Linked DNA regions of Neodiprion lecontei. The protein of the gene in region 2 purifies or fractionates together with the protein of the main gene of each other region. This does not show direct contact. Links are inferred from orthologs where the notes say so. Each region holds a gene or a part of one and is shown on either strand. Other genes may lie near its edges.

Region 1 (6,636 bases), on a different chromosome or scaffold from region 2:
TTCCCAAAATTCACTCACTTTTTCAGCCATCTCGTTTATACTCCCATAAAACGGTTTATTCATTAGTTGATACAATTTCTTCAGCTCGGCCGGCACTTCCCACCCGTCTTGAAATGACACACACCGTTAAGTTCATGGATGAAGGAATGCAACTTTTGGAAAGTCCTTTGGATTTTTTATACGATCAACAGGATTTTCTGGTTGTTGGATGTGTCGGAACCAGAGGAGTAGGAAAGTCGACAATAATGTCATTGTTGACCGCCAATTACATGTAACGTAGAACACGTTTAATGAGTTTTTGTTACTGAGAGAAGACTTTGTAGAGATCGATTGCTTCTTACCATTTCAATATACAGACATTAATGAACAAGATTATAATGCATAGAACGTTTGCTTCTCACTGATTAATCACGTACTACTTATTTTCAGGTCTGATGTTTTTCCAACACAAACGTTGTCGCATCACGAAAGTGGCTCGAATTGTACGTCTGGCGTAGATTTCTATGTGACTAAAAACCGAGTTATCTACTTGGACACTCAGCCTATATTATCTGGGGTGGCAATTGATCACTCTGGATTATACGAGCAAAAGAAAAATAACAACGATTTTGCAAACATAGAAAATAACGTGGAACTGCAATCCTTACAGTTAACATCGTTTCTGCTGTCTGTTTGTCACGTTGTAATATTCATTCAGGACTGGTTTGTAGATCCCAATTTAATCAGGTATCTACTTTCTAACAGCTGAATTTATCTGATCCAAATTAATTAAGTACTTTATTTTACTGGTTTGCTTTGTTCGCTATACTTCAGATTCATTCAAACTGCCGAAATGCTGAAACCTTCTTCGGCGTCTGCTATGGATCAAGACTTTGTCGAATATTATCCACACATCCTCTTTCTGCACAATAAAGCTGAGTTACAGGATTTCATGCCTGATTCTATGAACATGATGAAAGTAAGATAGATTTAGTAACAAGTAGTAACGGATTTTTTTTTAGATAAAACCTCTCAAATTAGAGCTTGTATTTCCAGGAACTAGAGGATTATATCTTATCAGAAAAATATCATTTCCAAAAACATTTCTCACACATAATAAACCTTAGTTCTCAATTTCCAGGACTTTTATAACAAAGTATTTATAAACTCTAGACTGCTGACACACAGTGGATTAAATATGGCTTCATCCGTCGTTGATGGACAACTAAATTTATTCGTTATACCAGAAATTACAAACGAAGGTAAAAATCCAATTCAGATGAAAGCAGAAACGACTCGTATCTACATTTTGTATGAGTGTTGTACACAGTTTCCTGACTTCAATAACTTTGAATCGGCGAAGTGATTTTACTTAATGAATTGTTTCAGATGAGACAATCGTTCATGATAGTGCAGAAAAAATATCAGAAAAATTGCGTATGAGAATACATGGTATATCACGTAACAACATGACTTCAACTGTATTGACTGAAAAAAATTGGTTAGTACTAATTTGAGATACTCCGAGTTATATAGCAGACACTGAAGGTGAAGAATAGACATTGATCTCATATCTTTATTTACTAATTACAGGTACCATTATGCTTCCAAAATTATGGATACGATAAAGAAAAGTCATTTGTTTTCTGAATATGGGAGATTAATGCCGTGAAAACAACAATTTGGCAAAGTGGAATGAATGTAATCTTTCACAAAGGTAGGAACAAAAAATTTTAAATTTCATAAATATTCAATAGAAACGTTTACAAAAAAAAAAAACACTTCAAAGGTGTGGTTCGATTAAATTATCCAAAGAAAATAGGTATAATTAGGTTCACTTCTTTATTCTATCACATCATTCACATTTATTCATAAATAATGGTGGTAACGTATTCTAGGATACTCGAAATTATTTTCTTCTTCATTTCTTCTCTTTTTTTTTTTATGCAATTTACATAGATAAATCATCAAAGATAAACCGTTAAGACAATAAGAAGTGAATTTCTCATTTACGCTGTTCACTTTTATTGGAAAAATCGATTCATAAGTAGAGGAACCAATCAATTTACTCATTAGACTTGCATTGTCTATTTTAATGGTAATAATTTAGGAGTAATCTTCCTGCTCACTATCCGGCTGTTGCATAGAAGCCATTTGGGCAACGGCTTGCAACTGTTGCCACTGCTGTTGTTCAGCAACGGCTTGTTCCTCGCGTGCTTTTGCGAAGAGCTCCTGTTGTTGTCGAAGAAGTTCCTCTTCTGGAATTCCAAGATTTTCGAGCCTTGTACTTTGGCGTCTTCGCTTCGCTGCCACAGCCTTACAATCTCGCAATACAGCTTCAGCTTCGGCGCTATAATCTCCAAACCCCAACTTTTCCAATGCTTGTAATATATGCTCAGCATTAATTGTTTTCTTCTGCTGTTGATTGCAGATATCGTTCGCTTCAGAGGATAATAAATGTATGAACTCAGTACAGCAGTTCAATATTAACTCCCTCGACTCGTTTGCTACTCGTATATGGGGTAGGATTTCTTTTATCATTTTATTTATCGACGCTCGAGGTAAAGTTAGCTCATCGTCTTCAGCTGGAGTCACTGTTGCCGAGGCCATTGGAACCCTGAAAATCGAGGATCAAACAACGTTCAATAACTTTAGCAAACCTATTAAAGAAATGCTTTGAAAGTGTGTGCCAAGAAACAATATACCTTTATTCGACAAGTGAGATGAACACCGACAATAAAGAAATGTTTTCAGAAATGTATCGTTTCTCGTCTTGTAATCTAAAATAAGAGTCATTTTAGATGTAAATAATATGTATTCATTTGACGGCACTGCTTACATTGCAAATATACAAAGTCGATAACAGCTAAACCTTTAGGTAACAAGTGGGATTAAAATCTTTTGGCCACATTACTTTGTCAACTAGATTACAAGAATTGTTATGATGCTACAGGATAGTGGTGATAAATATTCTTCTTCACTGAACAGGAGTAGAGTTCACATCATTTCGACACAATGAAACAATACATCAGATGCGGACAGTCGACTGAATTAATCGAACAATCAAGAATCAATAAAAATCAAACTTGTACACTTTTTTTAATTTGTAGTTTCTGAGTAAAATGAATGCGGAAGTAACAAGTAAATGATCGATTGAACTATTGCAAATGAAATTAGATTTGCAGCTCGTCAGTTAAAGGAACTCTATGGTTTGTAGAACTATGAACAGGAAAAGAAATGTAAGAAATGTCTAAATATATTGCTAACAAATCAAGTTGCCTCTCACTTTTGTTGTAATTATTTCTCTCTAATCTTTGTTGTTTAAGCATACCAGGCGAATAAATAACAAAAGCAACAAATTTGTTTTACAATAAATTGAACCAATAAATGAATGACCAGCATTTAACCTTCAATAAATTTTTACCCAAAATATCATCTGCAAGCTGTTACAACGTTTCAACGATTACAGTCATTGCTGGTAGTGAAGGAGAAAGTAGAAAAAAAACACATCAAATGTAAGTGCTTGAATGTTAAAAATGAAATGAAACGTAACTGCTCGAATAAAACGCAAAAAGTAATCAACGAATTTCGAGAGGTGGTCATTATAAAAATCGAAAGCTTATTTAATCTGTTCAAATGAATTCCCTTCATATCACGATGAAAAAAATAACATTCCGATGTAATAATATGTCAGTAGTTAAGCGAATATATTTTCTTGTTTGGTGAAAAAAAAAAACCACTAATTAAGTGAATGTGGAACGTTATTGATGATTTAGCATGGGATACTTTATTTATGAAACACGCACATATGACTAGTTACGTAGATCTGGAGGTTATCATACCACGGTTGCTCAACACAAATTCACCGATAATACATCCTGGGACATCATAAATAAAAATACAGCGCCATCATTAGTTTTCGCAAGTTATTAAGTACGGTGTAAAGTTTATATCAATTGGATTCGGATTATGTTCTGAGATTGTAAATGAAACCAATTAAGCAATTCGGATTTTTAAACGCCAAACAACCACAGTTTGTGTAAGGAGTCAGGTGTCCTACAGCGCATGCTACAGCGCAGCTTTTCGGACAAACCAATGGAAACGTTCCGCTAGTTGGCATCACACAAGAGGTTAATTCAAAACTGTTAAAAGATTCTGAGGTAGATTAGAACTATTTTCAGTTTCACGATGACAACGGCACGTTTCTAACGTTTTGCCCGCGATAGTTATTGGTTATGAAGAACACCTTTTGCCGACGTGGTCAGCTACTTGGTTCGTAATACGCGAAACTGCTAATACCCCCAAACCCGGCCAGACCCTGCAAACTGTTACGAAAAAAAACCCAGGGTTATAAGTCTTTATACCATATCACGGCCTTATAACAGGTCTGGGCACTCCGGTTGTAAAACCGTGCTCGAAAATGAAGCCGATGTTGTGAATTTTCGCCGCTAGCGCTAGTGAGGGAGAGGCCTACTTAGTACGCATACACCGGCCTCGGAGATTGCAGCGCTCCGATCTTTGGTGCACAAATTGAGAAACACAGGCTTCAAGACAGTCACGCTGCGTTATATGGGGCTTGGGTGCCCTCAGTGGACCCAATTGATCAGCGCCATTTGCAATTTTGACGGGTCCGTTTCGAAGCGGGTAATTCAAACCTAAAACTAACCAGCTTCACGCGAATATTGTTCGATGGCGACGGTAAAATAAAACAAAAGTGCGGTAAACGGTAAAGCCTAGTGCCTAATACTAAGAAAAAAGTTAGTGAATTAATAAAAATGGTGAAGTACTTGTACGGTGGGAAAAGTTCAAGTCACAAGCGAACTAATCACAGGTTCACTTTTGCGCTTGCTTCAAATTGTTACTAATGTTTCAAGTCGCCTATTTGTAAGTAACGAATTTTATTGTGCCGATTTATTTTTTACTTTCCAAGGTTTTATAATGTGTTTGATCACTGATACTAATAAATTTACTACCTATATATTACTAAAATAAATGAATTCTATTAATGCTAAAGAGATACATAAATAAAGCTCAAAAGTCAGAAATTATATTTCCATCGTCCGTAGCCAATATCCTTTTTCTTATTGGAATTCTATTTATCGGCATTTTTTAACCCGAAATACAGGCCTTTTTAAAAAAAATCGCGTTTATTGGTTAATCAAAAACCCCAAGCTTGCCCTTTCCTCTGACCCCCCCCCCCCCCCCCTCCCCCCGCAGCTTACATGCCTTCTGATGGTTCCACTCTGTAGCACGTAGAAAGCACGAGAAAGAGTCCACTATCCAGTCTACATAGAGATCAGTGATGGTGATACAATTAAGGTGCGCAAAAAATATAAAATTCAGGCATGGGGTGGTCGAGAAATCGTTAGCCCGATCGTTAAAAGATAAAAATAAATACGACTACATTTTTTGCCTGCAACTACAGCATCTGATGTCCTGAGAATTGAGATACATACACGTATACATACAATAAGTAGGTCTAGTATTGACTAGAATCAGTCACAATTTTTGCAAAAATCAAAACAGTTACCTTTTTTTTGCATTTTTTAGTTCATGACAACTTTCTGGTAATTGTGCTGATAAATTAGCTCCGATTGAGCCTTAGTTTCCGTCTCACAAGTAAAATCCGGTTGTTCTACCTTCGCTCATTTCATTATACTTATCAAGAAACAAAAAGTTGCCATTTGTTCACCAACTTTATTATTATCAAATTCTTACAGTACTTGTTATTAGGAAAATTATATTAAAAACCTTTGCATAGAAACACTTTGAATATTAGAAAATCAGTAATTTATCGCAAAAGATTCGAATTCAGTGACATTCTATTATTTGCATGCATCGCAATATTTTTCTTTTTGTCCGTAGAAAAAGCAGTATTGCAAGGCTAATATAGGCATGGAGCATGAGTGAATCAGATCTCAATACATCGAACGTGATTCAAAGTGGGTTCACCGAGAAGAGGATTACTCGCGTAAAATGGAAATTTTTCCATCCCATTGCAGGCGGCTCCGTACGCGCCATCCTTATTAAGAGCAATAACTCCACCAACGAATTTTGGATAATGCTGAGCTATGCGACGAACTGCTGTCTCAGCAGCATGGCTTGGAGCCGCTCCGCGGCGCATTTCTTCCACTGCTAGGAAGCTGAAAAACGGAAGTTATTCATAAACCAAGGCGCAGATTAAAACTATCATGATTAAATAAAGTAATCAATCAATATAATGAATTGCATCAAGACAAGCAATGCTTGTATTGAATTCTCGTCTGATCAATAACAATAATATTACACGAATCATCTGCAGAACACATGTCTACGTTTCTCAAAGGGACATATACACCTCTGAAAAAGTAATATAGAAAAGAGCTATTGTGTCAAAATAAAATGTTTTGATTTGATCAATTCACACCCACCTTTATTATAACAGATTACTGATACTTTACAGTAACATTCATTAAGACCAAAAGGAAAAAAAGTGGTTGTTATAGCATACCCACTGCATCCATGCATCAACAACTTCTGAAATGTCTTGGGAGTATTTAACAATCATGCGATTTCATAGAAAACGAACAATATCCAAACAATTTAATTTTTCAACCTATAACTTCTAAGTTGTTTTTTGCAGGGTTTGGAATAATTTTGAGAAAAAAAAAGTATACT
Region 2 (7,089 bases):
GTAAAAAGTAGAAGTCTTTGTTTGAGTTGCTGGAATTGCTGTTAAAAATATTTTATACACCATATTTATATGCAAAAGTTTCATGAAGTACAGCGTAAGAAGAACAGATCATTTTAGACTACTGCCTGTCAGTGTGTACCTCCATCTGGTAAATCAGTCCAGATCAAAGGTACGGGCGGCCTTCGTTTCTTCCATAGATTGTCCATACTAAGAAGGTACATAATATCATCATGAAATAATTTCATGAATAATTTTTCAGCATCATAACCACTGGACTGAGCCCAGGTGCGAGTTGAGACCCGATCTACATTCCCTTTATCATTTGATTCTGTTTGTAATGCACCTTCACCCGCAGTATCTGAAATGAATAAAAAGATGAAATGAAGCATAATATGCAGATTAAGAGATCAGGGTGACCTGGGTCTATCACTCCATTAGCTACCAATGTATTCCTCATGAAAATCTGCGACTGAAACGTATTTTATTTCTCATACGAAATTTGTTGTTTGCATCTAATGGCTTAAAATAAGTCTCGTGGTTCCTCAATTGACCGTCATGCGCTTGGCAGCTGTCCTGAGCAATCAGATATTACTGGATTGGCCAATTTCAAACGGTTGTAATTCACACACGACAATTTTCGTATCAAAAGTGAAAAAACGTCTCGTCACACACTTCAACAAGGAACATATTGGTAGCCAATTGAGTCGTAGATCTGGGTTACTTTCAATATAAATCGTTGGTTAAATAACTACCAGCTGCTTCTGGGTCCGCCGTATCAGGTGAAACATCTTGATCTGGATCTTCCTCGCCGAAAAGTTGACTTGAAGATAGAAAGGGAAAATATAGTTATTGCAATTGACACATCAAAAATCACAAAGCAGAAGTCATTTCTCAATCTGAATTAAAATTGGGGCCAGATGATAAAAACATTAGACCCTTACTTGAATAAATGTTTTGCCCAGACGATACAATGGATTGGTTCACTAGGAGTGTTACGAATGGTGCAACCAGGATAAGTTTTCTGTGGAGCTTTTGTGGTGCATTCATAACACTGGCTCAATCCTTTTTTAATGAGTTCAACTTGACCTTCGTAACCAGCTGTTCCAGATTCAATCAAAGGTATATCAGAGGCTAGACACATGCGATTTACATGATTTCTTGCTGCTCTGTTGTCCAGAGCATTCATCACTAGATTAAACTTTTTGAAGAAGCTGACACCATAATCTGAACTGTAAATGAATATATCATTGCTTTATAAAAGAAGATACTCAGAATCCAGCATAAGTTTTGTTTAAATTTTGGATATACATCGAACATGAATTTGATTGAAGAATAGCCTATAATGGATGTCGAGGATGATCCACATAGAAATCTGTAAGAATTACTGGAAACTACTCACGTGGTAATACTATCATGATAATGAGTAATTTTTACATCTGGGTTGAACTTTAATGCTGTTTCCCGGGCAACTGCAGCTTTTGATTTGCCAACATGTTGCTTATGGAAGAGAAACTGCCTGTTCAAGTTACTCACATCAATAGTATCCAAATCAATCTGAAAAAGGGGATTTAATTTCAATTTTCAGGATAGTAGTATAAAATTCTTAAATAACTTTGGGATCAAACATCATAGTTGAAGAAACAGAACATCGGCTGATGTAACACTTTGCATCTTCAAATTCCCCTCGTAAAATGTTTTAGCATTAAAGTACTTGAGTGTAGAGCATTTGATTATACAAATCATTAGAATATAATTTGTTTGCTGAAATATTATTGTTATTTTCTGACATTCGATACAGACAATACCTTTAAAAATATCTTCTCGCTTTAATCCAAATTTATCAAACAGCTAAAACGACCCATTGAAGTAATGTTGATTACGACTTTCCATGACAAAATTATATTCTTCGTGACTTAGCAATGAAATTTAATTACCACAGTGTGAGAACATGCTCTGTTAGTTTATTAATGCTACAGTACTAGCTATTTCATTGAGTTATAACATATGATAAAAAAAATAGAAAATAAATCTAGATACAAAGCTTGAACAGTCATTTGAAAAAAAAATAATTAAGATTTGGAGCATACAGGTTTACAAGAAACAGTTTGTTGCTTTGAAGTACGGAGAGGTTAGGGCTCCTCAGATAAAATGCGCATAAATTCCAGTATTGTTCAGACTTACTATTTCGATATCAGTGAATCCCGTCATCACGAGATTTTTAAGTACCTCGCATCCAATTCCACCAGCACCCACAACCAAAACTTTACTCCGTAGCACAGCATTTTGTAGATCAGTGTCCAACACGCCGCTAATACTTGCCGCCATTTTTGACTCGTGTAAAATCTGTTACTGGCCTGGATTTTCATGGGTAACAAAATGTTGAGTCTGTACCTACACCAGAGAGAAACCTCCTACACACTGGTTCAGATGTCGCAACCCTGCATCCAAAGCCAGTGCTCGAGTACTTTTCACGTTAATTATTTCTTGATTGATTGAATATTTGTTGCGGTCATGTTCGTTATGATCAGTTTCCAATATTACCTAATTATTTTTTATAATGACAATCAAATAGGTATTTAAATCTCGACGATCTAGACGAAAACACCGGCTGTATAACGAGCTAAACAAGAAGAGTCATTCAATTCGATTATGGTCAATATTCTTTCAGCTATACAAGAATATCGCTTATAGTCTTAAAATAAAAGTTGCTTTACATCATGATAATACCCATGTGTAGAGATGCACAGTTGAAAGCTTAGTTCCATAGTCGCATAACGATGGCGGAATCAATTGAGGAAGAGGTTAAGCTGAAGATTGAATCAGACCTGCCGGAGTTAACAAGATGTAAAAACTGTCAAGAGTTATGTGATCCGTACACTAAGCCTGCACTACATTGCTCAGGAGTTTGTAATGAGCATGTGCATGTCCAGTGCTTGAAGCGTGGTGGAGTACCTGGACCATGTATAGGCGACGTATTCTTTCAATATACTTGTTCCGACTGTAGTTCATCGAGGGAGGAAATTCTCACTAGGGATAAAATGTCGTGGTTGAATATCATTGTACTAACTCTGTACAATTTACGGGAGAAATCAAATGGGATAAGTAAGAGGGGATATTTTCATTGGAAGTCCGACATTAGTACATTTGTCGATCGCAACTGGGACTATCTGTTCAAGAAGTCTGTGTAAGTTGATTTTTTGCTATATGAAAAATTAGAATAAAACTAAATATAATCTATGTGCCATAAATGTAAAAAATGTTTTTACATAATTTATTAAATATTTTGAATATCTTGCTACAGAGTGTTAATCTTGCCTACTGTGACTATTCTTTTTAGGAAACGAAAAAAAAACTGGATAGGAACAATATCTGGTACACTATCTCACTATAGCGGCGTCTTTTTTAAATCAGGAACTACAGAACTCAACGAGTCGGGCTGGTGGAGGCTTATAGATACTGATCCTCCTCAGGTACTCATTGCTAAGAGTAAGTAACTGACAGTTATAAGAAATTCAAAGTCTTTCAAATGAGATCCTTGAAATTTTCTCTCAAAGAGGAATTCCAACAGATGCATAAACGTGTATTAAATTATGGGTATCCTTGTTTCTCTCATTGATATTTTCGTAGATGGGAAACTTGTGCTGGAACGTAAAAAGCAAATGGGTACTCTGTCCAAAGTAGTGGCAAAACAACGAATCAGTCCATCACCTTCTGAATCAAGCATTTCTGTCGGCGAAGATAGTAATTATGGCGGTGAATCATCGAGAAGTCAAGGACTGTCCATGTACTCGCGAGCTTACGTTCAACCCAGTGAAACATTATCAGATTTTCTACTAGCTGAAGACGACGTACATGGTATGCTCTAATGAATACTTCAGTTTGTTTGTTTCCTGAATTTGCACTAGATATTGGAGAATGCAACAAAATCTCATGGAACAACAAAAAGTCCTGGCATGGTATGTTATATATTATGTCAATTATGCTTTATAGATATGGATGTGCTGGACATAGACGATGGAATTGAGTTGAATGTTCGCCGTGAACCACCTTCCTTGACTGATTTAATGAGAGACTTTCAGTACCAGAGCTATCAACCGTATCAATCCTGCAATAACCAGCTTACACTTATGGACAACTTTACAACTGACTGGGAAATGAACGTTATTTCGTCTGCAACAATTCTAAGCAACCATAACGATGTTAAAGATGATGCAAATGATGATACCAAAGAAGAGGAACCATATGAAGAGGATAGTAGTGACAGTCTGAGCTCTCTCCAAGAACAACCAACGATATCTCTCTTTAATGTTTCAGAGAAACGAGACTGGCCCTGGAGGTACAAGAACATTGCTGGTACGTCATTTGAATCAACATATTTATTTTTTAAATTCTTACATTCGTATTCAAATAGTAAAAAACAAGTGGACCTAGTTTCGAGATGTATAAGCATAATATTTATTCTAAAAAATGTTGTTTAATGAAGATACTTCTTTAGCAGGTAATGTTGAAAAAAAAATTCGGATGAGTGAACAAGAAGAATCATATATTTTACAAAAAGTGGATAAGCGACACTTGGATTCAGCACCACCTGCTGTCAGGCGCTTATACAGAAAACTTGCAGTTCGAAAACTCAAGAGGGAACATGGTTTACCTGTATTTGATTTAGACTCTTTCGGTTGCAAATCAGACTTCTTACAACGAAATCGTAAAAGAAATAACCGTGTATTGGACAGATTTGTTAATGAAGGTTTAGGGGGTGCTTACGAAAAAAGACTACAAGGTTACAATGAACCAACAGCTGTTCATAGCCCATATACAAACAGAATCTTGAAACCTTTTATAAGAAGAGACACATCTTGTCGACCTCAGTGGCTCAAATTAATGGAAGAGCTCCAGGTTAAGGTCAATAAAAAGAATCCAGAATGGAAATTCTCCAAAGAAGCACCAATAGATTATTCTTATGTCAGACCACAGCACATTCCAGCAATAAATAGCTTGTGTAGCCAATTTTTCTGGCCTGGAATTGACTGTAAGTGTATATTCAATTAGTTAATGAATCACAAATGTATTCAATATACCACCATGCCTGCAGAATGAAACGATTATATAAATAACACGAAATCAAACAACCATGCTTGTTTCAGTAACGGAGTGCCTGCAGTATCCAGATTTCAGTTGTGTTGTGCTTTATAAGAAATTGGTCATTGGATTTGCAGTCTTGGTCCCAGATGTGGGATACAACGAGGCATATATTTCGTTTTTCGTAACTCGACCAGAATGGCGTCGAGTTGGTATCGGTACATTCATGTTATATCATTTGATTCAAACGTGCATGGGTAAAGATGTTACTCTACATGTATCTGTAACAAATCCTGCCTTAATACTGTATCAAAAATTCGGATTCAAAGTTGAAGAATTTATTCAAGATTTTTATGATAAATACATTCCACCAAATTCTCGAGATTGTCGACATGCTCTTTTTTTACGGCTAAGTCGATGAAATTTGACAACTCGTAAAAAAATTCTGATGCAGGTAGGGAAGTATGTACGTATGTTATTTGACATCAGCATATCACAACAATAGTCACCGTATCAATATATTGTTGGCAATTGAACTAGCAAAGCTTCAATTGTATAACTTCATACTGCATTTGAGACTACACTATTTATAATATGTTATATTGCCTTTGTCGAGATATTATGTAAATTTTGGATTAATAACTGAATTACGTTTATTCTACACACAACTAATAAAATCATTGTTAAAAATATTCTGTCTTTATCCAGCAAGTACCTGTATAATAAGTGTAGTACAAACTTGAAGGTAGATTTCGAGTATATTCTCATTCATGTAATCAACATATTTGTCATAATAAAGTTGCATGAAAGATCCATAATTAGGTGATAAGTTACTGGCGTCATGGATAATTTCTTCTTTTGACGTTATAGGTTATGTTCACCGTCAGTCACCTGTCAATCTTAATATGCCAAAATTTTAGTTGCCAAGTAAAATAATTTGAAAAATTTAACCAGGAAATATTTCAATAAATTAACATAACTGCTGTGAAATGTGTAGAACATAAATTACTAGTGTCTAATTCCTATCAACGAACGACGTTGTGACGTACGGAAGTTGATGGAAGGTTCGCTGACTAGCTCCGAGGCATTTCTCGAAAGTTCCGGAAAGTACTAGACGAACGTTTGTATATATGGGCTGCGCAACCTACGCCATACTTTAGTGCATCACAAGACGTGAAACGTACGCTACGAGAGTAACGTTTAATACGTGTTGGAGTTTATTAAGCAGTTTAGTGATCAAGTGTATTTGGATATATAACAGACCCACGACAACTAGTATAAAATAATCCCCAAAGTGAGTAGTTCAAATGAGTATATTGTCTGCGTAGGATTTTAAATCAGAATCTGAAATTGAAAATAGCTCCGCATTTATCTCCATCATGTAGATATACGCGACGCGAAATTTAGAAGTCTGCGATGATCGTGCATATACGAGAATGGCAATGGGAGTGATTCTCAATCCACTTCGATCGTTGAGTTTATTTTTGAGTTGTTTGGAATTGCTACACTGTTCGATGCTATAGGTTTCATCATATCCAGAAATAGACCGTCTAATACGTGGGTGTGTAGGGCCCGCTGTCCCCTCTGTGGCCTGTATGTAGTGTATCGTCTGTAGCAAAGCACATCGAATGACCGTGTAAACTGTTTTTAAAAATATCTGTTAATTCAACGTACCGTTATCACCATACGTTTCATGTAAAAGTTACGCACTGTAGTCAGTAGTTCCAAAGTTTGAAAACGTACCGAATTTTTAATTTGTTGCCTTTTTTAATCTTCGCCCTCCGTATTAATAACTCTCATCTTTGGCTACAGCTGCTACAAATTCTTATTGAGAAAATAGCCTTGATTGTACGAAGTTTTGGTACCAACGTCGTAAATCCAAGGTCGTAATTTCATTCAATTGAACATTTCACTTTCTGCAAGTTTTAACTCTTTATAAGGATCTGAAGACACTATGACATTGGACTAGTAACGTTCAAATCAACTCGATAATATTTATACTTCTATTTT
Region 3 (9,466 bases), on a different chromosome or scaffold from region 2:
TATCGGTTTGAATTGTTACCATGCGCTTCATTTGACGAGTTTTGTGATATTGTTGGTAAGTAAAGTCTCTTTTTATTAGAAATATAAAAATTAAGATTTGCAGGCTACATAGTGAGTCCCCTATTTCCCTGAAAGTATCCTATTTTTTTCCCCCTGTAAGCATTCCTAGACTGAAGGGTTCCCCAAAGTGTATCCCAAGACAGCAATTTTCCCCTAAAACCCCCCTATTTTTGCCAGTTGATTCCTTTTTTTTCGTAAACTAAAATGGACTGTAAAAATCAAATTGATGCTATTATCCGAAAATTTTCATATTCACAGGGGATTTTATTTTTCTGTAATATAAACATATTTTTGGGGTATTATCGAAAAAATTCCAAAATGACCAAAATAATGGACACCCTAGTATGTATGTTATTTTGCTTGATTTGGTCAGTACTATGAAAAAATATTGGAACCCTAATAACCACACACATATACACACACCCTATTTTCATAAAGCTTTCCCCTAAAATTACGTGGCTTGAGCACTGTAAAGTCTAAATCTGACGAGATGAGTGCAACTAAATATTTTTACTAAACTATACAGAAATTCTCATCTTGAGTAACCATATCACGTCACTACATGAGTAGTGATTACTAACACATGAGGTGGTATATTGCTATTTACTACATGGTGAAATAAACTTGATGCATATGACCAAGTATGAAAAATGATGCTTGATAATAATATGATAGGGAAAGCAAAAATATATTTGACTTCAAGATGGGCTTCTGCAAAATGCCTAATGTTTTTTAATTACAGGTTTGCTTGGAGAGATTTCTGATCCTATGACGTATATGGCAGATTTATTGCGGAGTTTAGCCTAAGTTTCGCAAACATACCACCACTTTTCGCTTTTTTGACCGATTTAAGTTTTCTGTAAGTAGATTAACCTTTTTAATTATAGATATACACACGAACTATAGATAACCAGTCTCTGCAGAAAAGGAAATACCTAACTTGTTTGTTTATCACTATGAAATGTTTCATTTTAGTTTGTTACATAATAAGTTACTATTTGATGTGTTTAAATAATGTGTACCTAACTCTATATTGCAATGTTATTTATGCATAGATATAAAAATAAAGATTTGTGCTTTCGGAAAATTCGATGTAATAAAGCATTTGCGTGTAATATGTGTTCAGTTTACTCTGATCAAAAGTTTTTAAAACAATTACTTTTGGTGTACACCAATGTAACTTTCAACTATTTCTAGAAGCCGCATATCAAGTTTCAAGTATACTTCAAAATTTCTGATGCTCTTTCCGATAGTTGATAAAAATAAAAATTTAACTTCATAAAAATTAAAATGAAATTTAATTCTTAATATTCTTCGCGATAACTAATTGAAAGTAATGAAAAAAAAATTTTTAAATGAACAAACTATTTAAAACTGTTTTCATTCAAAACTTTTAAGAACCTTATGTGAGTTACTATGACTGTATATACGCTATGATTATTTTGCACACTTGTTTTTCTTAATTTGAATTTTAGATTTCAAGTAATAATTATAGCAATCTCTGCAGATTTATGCATCAATGTTATATTTATTTATTTTCTCATATCTGGAACCATACAAAACTATACTATCTGTAGTTACAAACGTAAATATAGAATTTAAATAATAATTATAAATGATCTTATTTATTACCGAATAATAATTAATTGTGAAATAAGTCATAGTAAACGATGATACATAAACAATTGCGTAGTCAGAAAGATCCCAAAATATATAGAAAGATGTTCCAAACCATCATCAACTACAGGCCCTTTTATTCTATTTTTTTTTTTTTTCACACGTACGAATGGCTGAAACAAAGCAGTAGGATGCTTAAATATGAAATACTCATGAGAACTGGCCACGGCTTCACGCTTTGCCAAAGTTGGAAAGAATCAATTTTTGGATCTTACTAGGTAATAAGATATGACAAGTTTACGTTCCTTATGTAGTAAATTGACCACCATTAACAATCGAAAAATATGCACGTGTTTATTGTATTTCAAAGGGCCGTTACTGTTGAATACTTCCACTATATTAGTCTGCGCACTTGAAAAATTTGTTCTTTTCATCGTTTGTTTTTTTCTACATTTGCAGATCAAAGATATAACTGGATGTCACTTTATATTTATGAATAAATGAACGCACTATAAAGTCTGTATTTACATCGTTAAAAGTAAGTGAATCTGTAAAATGTTAACAGATTTACATGCGTGGCAACAGTTTTCGATTCCATTATTCTTTGAATGTCAAAGAGATTACAGACATGCCGGGATTCATATCCGAATTACATAGCTGGACTGTGCATCATCCAAAACTCTGTACCTCAAAAAATACCGCGTCATATTTCTGCATACAATAATCAAGCGCTGATATCTCACAAATGTCAGTTCTTCACATTTACGAAAATAAAATCACCATTCTATTTTCTTCATTTTATAGTTCCTTTAGTCACGTTTTATAGGAAACAGATATTAAGTAATTTGTACAAAGAATCTATCTATTTGAATTAGTAAAGATTCGATTTATGTGTCACTTTTCCATAATTTTATTGTTTTATCATCTTCTAATGCTGCAGATGCAATAATGTTGTCCGTAGGATGGCAAGTCGTACACAAAACAACATCTGAAATATAGTATAATATTTGATCATGAATATTTTTTTTATTAGATGGCTTTTAATGGACTACAAAGTCATGCATCTGATTTACCTGTGTGTCCTTGCAATTTTTGAACGATTTCTTTCGTTTGTAGGTTCCAGATATAAACCATTCTGTCTTCTGAGCCTGATACAATCCACTGTACAGAAAAAATACATTAAAGATTAGATTCAAGAACAGCTAGGTAATATGCAAAACGTCGAACTTATGAAATTTACCTTGCCACCAGTGACTGAGAAATTTGCAAATATGCAATACTTTTCATTTCGATGACCAGTGTAAGTTTTTAAGCATTTTCCTTTGCTATAGTCCCACAGTTTTAATGTGTTATCCAATGTAGCAGCTAATATGTATTTTCCATTTGGCGAAAATTTCACAAAAGATACAGGTGGATTGTCGTCGTCTATTAACGTTTTCAAACACTGACCAGAAGCTGTATCCCAAATTCGACTAAAATTGCCAAAAACAAAATCGAAAATGGTAAAATTGAACTTGAATTTCATCTGTTTATCTCTCGTTTTCTTCAGATTATTTCTTACCAAAGACCGTCGTAACTGCTTGAGACAATCAATGAGCCATCTCTATTAAAATGCACTGCACTGACAGGATCAGAATGAGCTGGTAATGTTTTTAAACATTTTCCAGTTCGCACATCCCATATTCTCACACTTTCATCAAACTGCAACATAGTAAATTGCATTAATTGATGTGTTACAAGAATTTATCTGTATTGAATAATAACTTTTGTCATATTTGTACAATGCATACTTAAGACAATAACCTAAACACTTAATAGTGTAAAATTATTGTTAATGTCAAATGTGTTTTACTCACAGAGCCAGATACAATTAGATTCGATTGAGGATTGAAATTACAGCAAAATACGTAATTGCTGTGTCCCTTTAGAGTCTTCAGACACTTTCCCTGAAAATATATCAATCGATGCATGATTTCTGTATCACATTCTAGGTGAAGTTGAATTTTAAGAGCTTCGATGGGCAAATGAATGGAAGTTTAAAGTACCTAGTTGAGGAAGACCAAAAGAACTTGCAACTTTCAAAATCTGTTGAAAAAACCTTATGCATATAGAAAAATTCAAATATAGTAAATCAATCACAATATACATGAAATGGCAGGTTGAATAGAGATGCCACAAATTGTAGTAAGTATACACTCAAAACTTTGAACCCAGTTTTGCCGAAGTGATGTTAGACTATAATTAGAGTATGCTGTAGTTCACTAGTTTAATTAAGGGTTACAAATTCTACTGAACCAGTTAAGACTTTGAAAAGAAGGGTATAATTTCCAGTTTTGCCAATCAAAGCTTTGGGTTGCTAGATTTTTATAATTAGAATTACATGGAGGTGTGTTAATTCCTCCACAGTATAACATAGTGGAAAACTCACAGAGCTCAACTCCCATATTTTCAGGGTTTTGTCATCCGAAGCTGAAACTAACAATCTGCTATCGCTTGACCATGCCACATCCGAAATTCCCAACTTATGACCCGATATTGTTTTCTCGAATTTGCCATCATAGGATCCCCATATTTTTATAAGCTTGTCAGCCGCTAATGAATAGAAAAATTCGCATTATTGACATTTCACCAGCGTAGTAGATATTCTACAAAAGCATCAGTACTTTTCAAAATAACAGAATGTACGTCATGTTATTGAAGGAGAAAATATCTCGAACCAGTTCCCAAACATACTTACATGAACTGGCTAGCCATTCACCATTCGGACTAAACTTGACAGAAGATACAGCTTTGGTGTGTCCAGCAAGCGTATACTTCAATGTATAATTTGGCTTCTGGAAAATTCATAATTTACGATTACTAAGAGCTGCCATACTATCATTTCGGCCTACTTATAATTTGTTGCGAAATTGCTAAAATTCAACAGCCAATTAATCAAACATAGAGTCCTATTCAGTTTGCACTTTTTTGTGAGAAGGAGTTGCTCAATTTTTCAACACCAAGAAGAATCTAAAATCTGCATGTGCAGAGTAAAGTATGAATGACTTACCAAAGCTGAACTGCCCTTAGTGCCACTGGTTGGTGTACTGGCTGAATTGTTAACAGATTGCTGATGGCTAGGAGACGGACCGAGGGGAACCATGTTAAGGACTGGCTCAAATTTGAACTAAATATTTCTTAAGGTTCACAGCCAATCTGTGAAGGTAAATTGAGGTTATGAAGAGCGAAGAACCGGTAGTTAACGTTTTGGATCTTCATAGTTCTAGTAGCAGGCGGGACAGTGGATAATATTTATTCTATTATATACAAGGAGTATCATCGAGTTAATTGTACTGTGGTAAACAAAAAAATACGGTCACAATGACAGAAGTCGGAACGACGCAAACCTTTCATTTCCTGTATCTACACTGCCGAATGCCACCACGCGCGCGTTATTTTCGCCGACTACTGTGGTAGGGTTAGAGAACACGGAAAAATTTACCAAGCTGATTCCAATATCTCGTCAACCAGGATTTTATCACAATAATTTAGGAGCTTACGGTGAAAATTCTACAAAATCTGCAATAAAAACGCAAACAAATCCGCAACGTGTGATTAAAACACTAACCGCCATTCCACTGTTTAACCTTGTTCTCAGATTCGACGTCGATTCGAACCGCGTGTAGCAGCACCGTTCGTCTACGAATTGATAACTGGCGTTCATTGAAAAACATAAAGACGGATACCGCTGCGCAAATTTTTGTGATCAGTTTTCGGCGGCAAGTGGGCCCTGGTGGGCCTGGGAGCGTGAGAGGGTTCTGCTCGATCCACTCTACCTAACGAGCTCGCACAATCATTCGTAGCAGCAAAAATAGTGTCGGTATGAAAGCTTGAGATGAGCGGGTAGAGAGTCAGTACGTATGACTACTTGTCAACTGCGACTTCGAAATGTGGATCAGCTCGATCATCCCCGTGAGAAGAGCGTACCCGCGTCCACCGCCAACAACCCCCAACTACCTCTGAGCACCTCGAACCACCTCCGACCACCTTCGTCCTCCTCGGCCACCTCGTCCCCTTGTCGTCCGCGTCCTCATCAACCACCTCTGATCACCACCAACCACCTCAAAACACCTACCGCCTCCAAACATTTGATGGCAATTGTAATTATATTTTGTCTCAAAGTTTTTGCACTTGTCATGTTTACTATAAATTATTTCAATTCACTTTTCGCGCAAGCCCAAGTTCAGTAGCTTTCAATGCGCTAATAAACTTTCCACAATTTTTTATAATTTTCTCATAATCTTCCTGGTAAAATGTGTCAATAAAGAAATTATATTAATCCTTACACAATATTTTTGATGTGTTCTAATACTAAAAATATTTATTAGTACTCGGGGTATAACCCGAGGTGGTTGGCGGTGGTCGTTGGAGGTGGTTGGCGGTGGTTGGAGGTGGTCGGAGGTGGACGAGGAGGAGGACGAGGAAGACTAGGAGAACAAGGTGGACAAGGAAGACAAGGATTTGTGCTCGGTGAGTTCAACATTTTTATAATATTTGATGAAGTAGGATCAGGGTCAGGAGTAGGATCAGGAGTAGGATCAGGAGTGGTAGTAGGAGTAGGAGTAGGATGAGAAGTGGGATCAGGAGTAGGAGTAGGAGTAGCAGTAGAAGTACGAATAGGAGAAGGATCAAGAGTAGGTGTAGGATCAGGAGAAGAATTAGTATCAGAAGTAGTCAACCACCTCCTCCCACCTCCGACCACCTTCGTCCTCTTCGTCCACCTCGTCCCCGTCCTCTTCTTCCTCCGCCGCCTCGTTGTCTTCGTCGTTCTCGACTTCCCCGACCACCGCCGCTCACTTCCAACCACCGCCAAACACTTCCTACCCCCTCCTGCCCCCACCAAACACCGCCAACCATCTCCGTCCACCTCCTACCACACCCTGCCGCCTCTTTCTGCTCTTTTTAAATCATATTATTTACTCAGAGTAATTTTAATCAGGAACTTTCTTAACTGGCGCTTACATCTTAATCATTTTTCTTCAACGTTGTAATTGCAAGATATAACTAATTTGTAATCTTCCGGATTGCAGGAAAGTCCGTCAATGGAACGGTCTGCTGACTCCGAAGGATCTCTACTGGATGTGGATGAAACTTTGGAAAGAAGTAAGGAGGTTCTAGGATCACCATTCTACGAAGAAAGTAATAAGGTCAAGAATTCTTAACTTGTATACTAATATCACCTTGTCTTCATTTGTATCAAAACATCTATGTTTGCACGGTCTTGATTGAAGTTGGAATTTCATGTTGACAATTGATTTCAGAACTGCGTCAGCTGTCAACTGGCCAATTAACAGAGCTTCTCGGTGAAATGGAATCCTTGGTCGGAGCGCTCAGCGAAACTTTAATAGCTGAGTATTATTATTATTAATATTAGCTTACTTTTGTAAGTATTTATGAATATAGCCTCCATGAATATTCATTGTTGGTATATAAGGTCTGGCAACGTACCAACTTTCTGTAAGAGATGTTAAAGATTTTCAACACAATTATGTTTTAGTTCTGTGCCCCACCTAGTGATCCACTAGTACATATCCTCCGACGTGACATCGCTGTGCTACGTATAAAGAAGAAAAGATTTATTAAGATGCAAATTGCTCTTCTCTTCTTGTCACTGTGCTTTCAGCCATTGTTGTGCCGTATGTTTAAAATTAAGGACAGTATATAATATAGAATAACACGTACAGCTACGAATATAGCACTACAATAAATCTTATAGAAATGAGCTCTCATTGTGATTTATCTGTATTTATAACTCGACGCGAGAAGGCAAAAATCAATGTAATGCCATCTGTAAGGTAATTTGACTCGTGTTTGCACTACGAGAACTCGTTGGGCATTTTGCGGTGAAATTTGAAAAATTGTTGTACAAGAAATTAAATAACTATAAAAATGGATAAAAAATATTATCTCTAATAGTGACTGTAGCTAATACAGCTTTAACCGTATATTGATTATGTTAATGATCTATTGCGACAAGATCGGAATTAGATAAGCTCTCTAAATACTCTTTTCTAGACTATTAATTTATATCATGTATATGTAAATGTATATTTCTTCAGTTTATACAATCACTGCACTAGGATTACCCTTGCCACGTTTTATGGTGCGCTTGGGTAATTTGTATATTATTAACTTTACGTTTTACTCTATTTGCGACAAGTTGTGAGTGTTTCTAATTTCTTGGCAATTATTTATGTACATGTATGTGTATATATGTAAATATATACTTATACTTAAAACTAGACTTTTACAATAAACACAGAGTTTTTAGTATATTCACATACGGATTTCTCTGTATAGGTATACTTGAACTAAAATATCCTTATCTCTAATACAGAGTTCTTCGTAATTCGCATTTGTTCTTGTAACCCAATGTCCTACATACAATGGCAAAAACCGAGATCCAACTTGACTGAGTCTCAAAGCCCTGTTGACATAAAAGCAGCTATTCGATAGAAATTATAGTTTATACTTTACACAGCCCATTGCACGATATTTCATTATAAATACATATGTTTCAATGTATTTAGGAATAATTTATCAAATATACAGAGGTCATGTGCAAATAATAAATGAATTGATTCGACCGCAGTTTGATGTATTCATTAGAGCTTTGACAATAAATTTAAGCTTTGTTACTTCTTTTATTTTATTATGGATAATCAAAAACATTTCCGACTATTCGTGCTGTGGAAGCATGGGGATTAAACCAAATGTAGCAAAAGATTAGAAACAGTGTATGTAGAGTACGGGTATTTTTCTAATAATGCAAATAGAATAGAATACCACGCCTTGCGAATTAGCTTTCCAGACAGAGATGAATGATGAATTTTAAGGACTGCATTATCGTTGTTGAATACTCTATGCCTCATGGGAAAAGAAAATCTGTAACGATAAAATTGATGCACCGGATCATCGTCGACTTTAACTTTTGAAATGTCCTACCATTTTCGAACACCTCCTACCTCCCCCTGCCACCTCCGACCGTCAATGGCCACTTTCGACCACCCCCTATCACCTTCTGCCAGCGCCGACCACCTCCTACCATTTCCGAACACCTCCAACCATCCTATTTACCTATACCTATTACTAGATTAGCTATGATATGAAAAGAGAAGAATTATTCATTTCGAAATGGGATTCTATTCGACGCGCGCTCGATGTATTCCATAACATCAGTATTCATAATTATTCCAACAACTTTTCATTTGCTCTCTCGATCTTGAATTTTCATAGGCATAGAATCGAAACGCTGTTTTAGCTGGTCGCAAGTGAAGCATCTGCGTTGGGTGGAGGAGCGGAATTGTTTTTCGAAAAGTATTCGGATGGAAAAAAATTCAGAGTAACTGCAATACATAACGGATGCGCTAATTCTGAACGAGATGAAATGGATGCTTCGTATATGAGACAGTATTTAACGCTGCGTAGTGATTTAAAGACCTAGAAAGGTGATAGGGAGAGAAAGAACGACGCTTCTTAACACTTCGAGTGTATTTTAACACACATTTGAAAGATACGAGCGAAATTTTTCATCATCCAACTGTCGCAGAACGGCAGCGTTATTAGCCGACCCGTTCACTGAAGAATATATCTTCAGTCAACGGCTGACCATCGAAGGGCCTGGCCGCTTGAGTCTGGAATCGGCAGGAGAGATAAAGTGCGTATTTCTTGTATGAAATGTGAAAGCTAAAATCATTATACATCATATCATATCATCATACATCATACATCATACATCGTACATCATACA
Region 4 (6,721 bases), about 4.4 Mb from region 2:
ACTGTAACTGGTTTTTGTGCTCGTGCGCTCGCTTCCTCGTTGTCAGTGTTTTACCAGATAACATAGTTGTAGGGGAGACTGGGGCACGATGACTGCCCAAAAAATTCTGGTATTCGCTTTACAGTATACAGAATGAACACTGTCTTTGCGCATGTGACACAAGCCGAATCTGCCTGTAAGATTATTTCTATATAATGCCACAAATCACGTTTACAGATGAATGTAAGTACAAAGTATTGTGATTTTGAGACAATAAATTTCGTCAAAAAATACCACAGAACAATCAGCTAAGTGTTGACAGATTTGAAACACTACGCACAGCAATGTTAGCTCCAATTGAACGACGTTATTGTTATGTATTTCTATGTATACAATGCCAACCACTCATTAATTGCAATTTGTTGATCCTGGTTGTTCGGTTTTTTTACCGATTCAAAATGTTATCTGAAGCATGTATTTTGGGTTGATAGCACAAAATATGACGTTTTCAATAATCAAACTTGTAAACTTGAATATTAGTTCGGAATGTCAAAAGTCATCAGGTCACGGACCTGGAGAGCCAGAACTACGGCATTCTAGTCCTGGAAGTCGAGTTTCAACACGTGGCGGACCTGGAGCGCAGAAACTACGGAGCGCTGATCTCGGAAGTTGAATTTCACTAGGTAGTGGGCCTGAAGCGCAGGAACTACGGAGTGCTGATCTCGGAAGTTGAATTTCACTAGGTAGCGGACCTGGAGCGCAGAAACTACGGAGCGCTGGTCCCGGAAGTCGAGTTTCAACACGTAGCGGACCTGGAGCCCAGAAACTACGCAGCACTTGACCTGGAAGTCGAGTTTCACCAGGTAGCGGGCCTGGAGCGCAGAAACTACGGAGCGCTGATCTCGGAAGTTGAATTTCACTAGGTAGTGGGCCTGAAGCGCAGGAACTACGGAGTGCTGATCTCGGAAGTTGAATTTCACTAGGTAGCGGACCTGGAGCGCAGAAACTACGGAGCGCTGGTCCCGGAAGTCGAGTTTCAACACGTAGCGGACCTGGAGCCCAGAAACTACGCAGCACTTGACCTGGAAGTCGAGTTTCACCAGGTAGCGGACCCGGAGTGCAGGAACCACGGAAGTAGAGTACCCGGTACTCGAAATTTGCGGAGCGCGACTCTCATGCGTCCGCTCTACTGCGCGGTTATTTCCAGACTGAGGAATTCGGCCAGCTGATTTTCGGCTATATAGATCGATGACGTCGAGAGAAAAAAAATTTTGAGTGACGTCACTTTCTGAACATCCGAAGATCCGAACATCCAAACTTTGGTTTTAAACTTTAATACTATGTATGATGTATGATGTATGATGATATGATGTATGATGTATAATGATTTTAGTTTTCACATGTCAGAAAGAAATACGCACTTTATCTTTCCTGCCGATTCAAGACTCAAGCGGCTGAGCCCTTCGATGGTCTGCCGTTGACTAAATATATATTTTCCAGTTAACGTCAGCTAATAATGCTGCCGTTCTGAGACAGTTGGATGATAAAAATTTTTACTGAAAACTAGTTACAAAAATTTACCCAGAGGTATCCGTCTTTATTTTCTTCAGTTAATGGTTCCAAGAAGAACTGAATTAAAATCTAATCACATTACCGCTCGGTGAAGAGGATTAGTTGCTAAATTCTCGTTTCCATACCTATGAGGCCATAAGAATTCTTATAATAAACTGCACTAAATTGTCGTCATTCGAATAAACTGCATAAAATAAACGTAAAACTCGTCCGCGAAGATCATTTTCAATTTTGAATTTACCTCCAAACTGCTTTCTGTATGACCGGCTGACAATTAGGTAGTCGTGATGATAAATTTTGTTCGGTAATTTTAACATACGCCTCAGCCGGCAATGCTGCTTTCATCATTCAGTTTGGTTTTCATTTACCAATCGTCTCACAATTCATAATATTCACGCGCCACAACAGCGCTGAGTTAAAGTTGTGAATATCTCTTCATGGATATATAATTATTAGTGTACTGGAATTATAGCATAATTTTCAAGTTATGACTCAGTCGGAGAGAAATAATATTTTCATAAAGATCTGCGCCAAGTAACTTCAGCTCATGTACGTGTGTTTATAGTATAGAAGATATGCTATTCCTAATCTATGCAATTATTCATTTACGTCGATCATGATTCAGGCGAAGCAGTCACTGATTGCTCCAAACAAACTGACACATAGCTACATGTGACGTGATAAAAATCACTTCCAGTTGCTCTTAATGCTAAGGTTGACTTTAACTATTCTAACCTCTAAATATAGTTTGTCATATTTATGTAAACAAAACAAAGAGTACATAGCGACTTCACAGCATTGAATAGCTTTTGGTTCAAGCAAGAAGAAAAACTCCACCAGACCTACCGTTTCATACAGAATCCTTGTTTTTTCAGTTTCAAAGTGTTTTGTTTTCACTTTCTTAAACCATCTACATCTAGGTTATCTATCTAGGTTATTTTAAAATCAAAAGGTAATTTAACACTGAACTTCTCAAATACCATTTCAGGAGCTCTCCTTCGAAGATGCCGTTCACAGCTGATGCAGCGGCACATCAAATACAGGTACCAGCAGCATATTCAAAAATCAAACTCATCATCAAAATAATTTCAAATCAGTTTTGTCAAATGTTTCATATCATATGAATAACAATGGATGTTGCAGGAACGGCTCAAGAACATATACAATTTAATATTTGAGATAGAAGAAGAACGCAATCGATCTGAACATAATTTAAATAATATCACCAAGGCTCATGACAAAATAACACCAGATGATAAAGTCTCTCCTTACTATCAACAGAAATTAAAAAGTTTATATAGCGCTGCTGTCTCTGATGCTCAACAAGAAGAGGAGCTGATACGAAAAGCGCTGGCAAAAATTAACGAAATTAGGGCAATTCGAAATGAGCGTAGAATTCAAGTATGTCAATGTGAAAGGAACGGATTATTAAATTCAGAAAACCAGGGATTGTCCAAAAATCCAAGGGGAAATATAAAATTCAGATAGAATATTGCCATAATCATAGATAAAGTCCTTCCAATTATGTGTAACAATTTTGCATTCTTTTGAACAACTGAGGCACCAAATTATTCAGATTCTAATTCACCATAATGTCATTGCAGACAAAAATATACTCTCTAGATACTTTGTACATACCTATGTGAAACACTTGGAAAACAGCTGCTTGCTAGCGATATATTATTCATGCAGTTTACCAATTTTTCAATTGCTGGAAAAGTATGACTAAAACCTTTGTTCTTATACAGGCGCGTAACGCAGGAAACAAGGAAACGATACGACGAGGTGCATTGATGAAAATGTTGTTGAGCTCTGCACAAACTCTACCACTATATGTGGGTAAGTCACCTGGAGCAAAACCACCGCCACTATGTGGCGCAATTCCAGCTGAAGTTACGTACATAGCAAAGGTACGAAGGTAATAGTTTGTAAAATATTTCAATTTACGCCATATGAGATATTGATGATATTTTTGAGATGGGAGATATGGTTGCCGCGCTGGTAAAAGGATCCGAAGAGGAGGAGAATTGGATTCTTGCTGAAGTCGTTCAATTTAATCCAACGACGAGTAAATATGAAGTTGATGACATAGATGAGGAACAAAAAGATAGGCATGTTCTTTCAAAGCGTCGTGTTGTCCCTTTGCCTCTGATGCGAGCAAACCCGGAGACCGACGCCCATGCATTATTTCCCAAAGGATCTATAGGTATGATTATATGCTTGTGGTATAACTCACTACGGTTATAACAGTTGTATTCCCAGCTCTATAATGCAGTATCATTTTGCTTTTAAAGTTATGGCGCTCTATCCCCAAACGACATGCTTCTACAAGGCTGTTGTTAATCAGCTACCGACTACCGCAACTGAAGAGTACGAAGTACTATTCGAAGATGCAACATATGCGGACGGATACTCCCCACCTTTAAATGTTGCGCAACGTTACGTGATATCCATAAAGGAGAGTAAGAAAAATAAAAGTCAGTCTTGAAGAGAAGCAGAGTTATTATTTATAATCCGTAACGAATCGTAATGACACCGGAAATTTCTAAGCAATAATGCAGATATACGTCTAATTGAGATGCTGTACAATTCAAATCATGCAATCATCTCACTGCCATCAAATTTTTTTTTCGTTACAAGAAGAAATTACGTAGCTAAATGAACAAAAATTGATGCTTTAGTTATTAGATATTTGTAATATCATCAAACTGTATATAATCAATAAACAGGAGAAATTTTATGTGCCAGGATGTATATGCATTTTATACAGATTGCGCACATATACATTCTTTGCTTTTCATTCCAAAATACTATCAAAGTTATTATTTCAGTTACTCAAAATTACGCATAAGGATTCTTTATTTGTCCATTCAATCATTTTACATTTATTTTTTAACATATTTTTTCCTCTTATCTATTTTCTTTTCTTATTTTTCTTTCCTAGTGAGAAATAAAAATTGTTCATGAATACGTGTTATGTCGCTGAATCGAAGGTGATGCTGCACCGCACCTGCAAAATACTTAGCGACATGGGAGTAATGTGGGTTTAATTAGACTTTCGGTCTCTAATACGAACACCAGAACTTTTTAGTGCTCAAAACGCACTTGGAAGTACATTATGTATAAATATCGGTAATAGCGATCAATCCTCATCTTACAAAGTAGTATTCAACGCTTTTTTTTAAACTTTAAATCAAATTAAAAATCTATCCTTAAAACGTTCCTACTTAATCAAAGTTGCAATGACATGAAACTGTGTTGCTTTTGAAAAACTATATGTTCAACTAAAAAGAACTTTAAAGCAACTTCTTTCGCCAAATGCATACAAAACTGGTCAATGAACTGATTAACTCGTTATTAGTTATAAACTATGAGATATAATTCTATTCATTCAGATTGTAGTTCAATGAATTTGTTTTTCATTTTTATTTTATCTGCTTGTTTCATTTAGGCTTCAGTGCGTGAATTACCATATGGATATCTTGTTTTTTTTTTTTTTTTTTTTTTTTTCAAAAAAACTTATGATTCCCAGCACACTCTCATTTTTAGGTATAATATATGAAAAAGGTGTCACCGACGTGGGCGTTCACTGTATACATAAAACAATACCTGAATAATTATGTGCCTGACAATTATTTAATATTTGGAATTATGATGAAGTTAATGACAGATATTTTATTTCATGAGTGACATGAGTTCGTATTTTATATTTTTACAAATCGCTGTAAGACAAATGATCTGGACCAATAGATAGTACTTGTACGTTAAACTGTTTCAGAAAAAATGAAAGAAAAAAAAAATAACTAAATAATCGAAGACAAGGATAAACTTGAAAATTTTGATAAATCACTTGTGCATTCAGCTATAAATGGCAAAATGACAGCTTATCTGGATCGATAATTATGATACCGACTAAAGGAAAAAACTGATCATTTGAAAATCATTCGAACTTACTAAGGTGTGAGAATGGGGGGAAAAAAAAAAAAAAAAAAAAAAAACCGGAATGGAAAGAAATAAGTATTCAATGTAATATGTTTACATGAAGAACTGATTGTTACAATATAATTCTTATTGATCCAGCTCTTATTGCTGTTTTAATCAGTTTTCGCTGTCACGTTATAGTTATACGATGAACACTTATTTTGTAATAAAAAATATATGGTGCCTAAAGTACAGAGATAATAAATTACAACACTAGATCGATACATCAATAATCATTCCGTATGAAATGAATTTTTTCACCGTTTATCATCGACATGGTTAAACGACAGAATATATTTTGAACGAGAAACCTTCTTCCTCTTCGAGTCAATGTCAAATATATAAAAATTGAATATTTACTCGCAGCTACCTAAAACCTTCAAGATCAGGAAGACCTACTATAAGTTGTCGCTGTAGGGTGATTGAAAACTTATGCTAAAAAATAAATTGCTGCAATTATTAGCAAATCAATTGAACTACAATTGCGAATGATTGACGATCTGGTATTAAAGAATCAGTGGTTCTTTTTTTTATATTTTTTTTCCTTTGTTGTCGTTTTTTCATCTTTACTTTTTTTTTGTGATTCGATAAAATTAAGAAATAGGAATAATTGTGCCCGCTTTGTCCAATCTTTTTTTTTCTTTTGACATGTGGCTTTTTTTCTCTCTCTTTTTTTTCCATCGTTTGAGTTTTTTTTCTGTGGACATATCATAAATATGAAGAGACATGAATTTTCTTATTACAACGAAGATTAACTTGCAGTTTTGGGAATGAATTTTCACAATGGGTACATCCTTGACAGAATGTATAAGATAACAATATAATGCAACACAGCACAGTTTACTCAAATGGGAGAGATTTGCATAAATCATCATGCTAACGGAATTCAGTCAATTAAGATCACAACATGCATAAAATTTCACATGATATTTCAACAGTGATATTCAACAATATACTGTGCTTTGTTGTGCAATTATATTTGACTAAGATTATTGTTCACTATTGAAGATCGATAGGACGCTAAGAGCCATATTCTATGTTGTAGTAGCTGCATCTATTTTTGCTAACCGTAATATTCCAATAATGGAAAAATAATATTTCATTTCTGAACAACACGATTCTCTAAATATATAATGACACCACTTGCAATCGTCCTTGCGCATTTGATGAAAATATGTGCTGTATCAAA

What was found.
Region 1: the proteins of cysteine-rich protein 2-binding protein (region 2) and protein Dr1 purify together in Drosophila melanogaster (affinity purification with mass spectrometry; 4 studies listed by BioGRID). This does not show direct contact. The link is inferred for Neodiprion lecontei from reciprocal best matches to the Drosophila melanogaster genes Atac2 and NC2beta.
Region 3: the proteins of cysteine-rich protein 2-binding protein (region 2) and protein will die slowly purify together in Drosophila melanogaster (affinity purification with mass spectrometry; 4 studies listed by BioGRID). This does not show direct contact. The link is inferred for Neodiprion lecontei from reciprocal best matches to the Drosophila melanogaster genes Atac2 and wds.
Region 4: the proteins of cysteine-rich protein 2-binding protein (region 2) and SAGA-associated factor 29 purify together in Drosophila melanogaster (affinity purification with mass spectrometry; 5 studies listed by BioGRID). This does not show direct contact. The link is inferred for Neodiprion lecontei from reciprocal best matches to the Drosophila melanogaster genes Atac2 and Sgf29.

What each region holds. Positions count from the first base shown.
Region 1 is NC_060261.1:17,282,831-17,289,466, forward strand, and holds protein Dr1, read right to left. Parts: upstream 4,103-6,636; 5' UTR 3,788-4,102; coding exon 3,786-3,787; intron 2,737-3,785; exon of another isoform or gene 2,597-2,736; coding exon 2,086-2,596; 3' UTR 1,799-2,085; downstream 1-1,798. Other genes in the region: protein SMG9, read left to right, coding at 85-271, 430-726, 814-958, 1,121-1,241, 1,369-1,480, 1,573-1,651; N(4)-(Beta-N-acetylglucosaminyl)-L-asparaginase, read right to left, coding at 5,891-6,122. UniProt on the Drosophila melanogaster protein: Bifunctional basic transcription factor. Activates transcription of DPE (Downstream Promoter Element) containing promoters while repressing transcription of promoters which contain TATA elements.
Region 2 is NC_060260.1:30,938,794-30,945,882, reverse strand, and holds cysteine-rich protein 2-binding protein, read left to right. Parts: upstream 1-2,777; coding exon 2,778-3,184; intron 3,185-3,337; coding exon 3,338-3,486; intron 3,487-3,627; coding exon 3,628-3,855; intron 3,856-3,990; coding exon 3,991-4,353; intron 4,354-4,495; coding exon 4,496-5,029; intron 5,030-5,144; coding exon 5,145-5,500; 3' UTR 5,501-5,756; downstream 5,757-7,089. Other genes in the region: SUMO-activating enzyme subunit 2, read right to left, coding at 140-358, 753-820, 942-1,229, 1,400-1,554, 2,182-2,325.
Region 3 is NC_060262.1:28,248,425-28,257,890, forward strand, and holds protein will die slowly, read right to left. Parts: upstream 6,916-9,466; 5' UTR 6,897-6,915; intron 6,864-6,896; exon of another isoform or gene 6,747-6,863; intron 6,700-6,746; exon of another isoform or gene 6,679-6,699; intron 6,187-6,678; exon of another isoform or gene 6,126-6,186; intron 6,105-6,125; exon of another isoform or gene 6,045-6,104; intron 5,817-6,044; exon of another isoform or gene 5,315-5,816; intron 5,304-5,314; exon of another isoform or gene 5,285-5,303; intron 5,218-5,284; exon of another isoform or gene 5,064-5,217; intron 4,873-5,063; 5' UTR 4,820-4,872; coding exon 4,727-4,819; intron 4,512-4,726; coding exon 4,415-4,511; intron 4,270-4,414; coding exon 4,106-4,269; intron 3,624-4,105; coding exon 3,534-3,623; intron 3,379-3,533; coding exon 3,239-3,378; intron 3,150-3,238; coding exon 2,918-3,149; intron 2,839-2,917; coding exon 2,751-2,838; intron 2,666-2,750; coding exon 2,565-2,665; 3' UTR 1,762-2,564; downstream 1-1,761. Other genes in the region: E3 ubiquitin-protein ligase UBR4, read left to right, coding at 1-55, 803-867.
Region 4 is NC_060260.1:35,359,979-35,366,699, reverse strand, and holds SAGA-associated factor 29, read left to right. Parts: upstream 1-2,109; 5' UTR 2,110-2,257; coding exon 2,258-2,265; intron 2,266-2,539; coding exon 2,540-2,594; intron 2,595-2,694; coding exon 2,695-2,952; intron 2,953-3,299; coding exon 3,300-3,461; intron 3,462-3,528; coding exon 3,529-3,757; intron 3,758-3,845; coding exon 3,846-4,039; 3' UTR 4,040-4,808; downstream 4,809-6,721. Other genes in the region: skin secretory protein xP2-like, read right to left, coding at 43-173, 552-1,128, 1,634-1,676, 1,793-1,896. UniProt on the Drosophila melanogaster protein: Component of both the SAGA and CHAT histone acetyltransferase complexes, which both predominantly acetylate histone H3.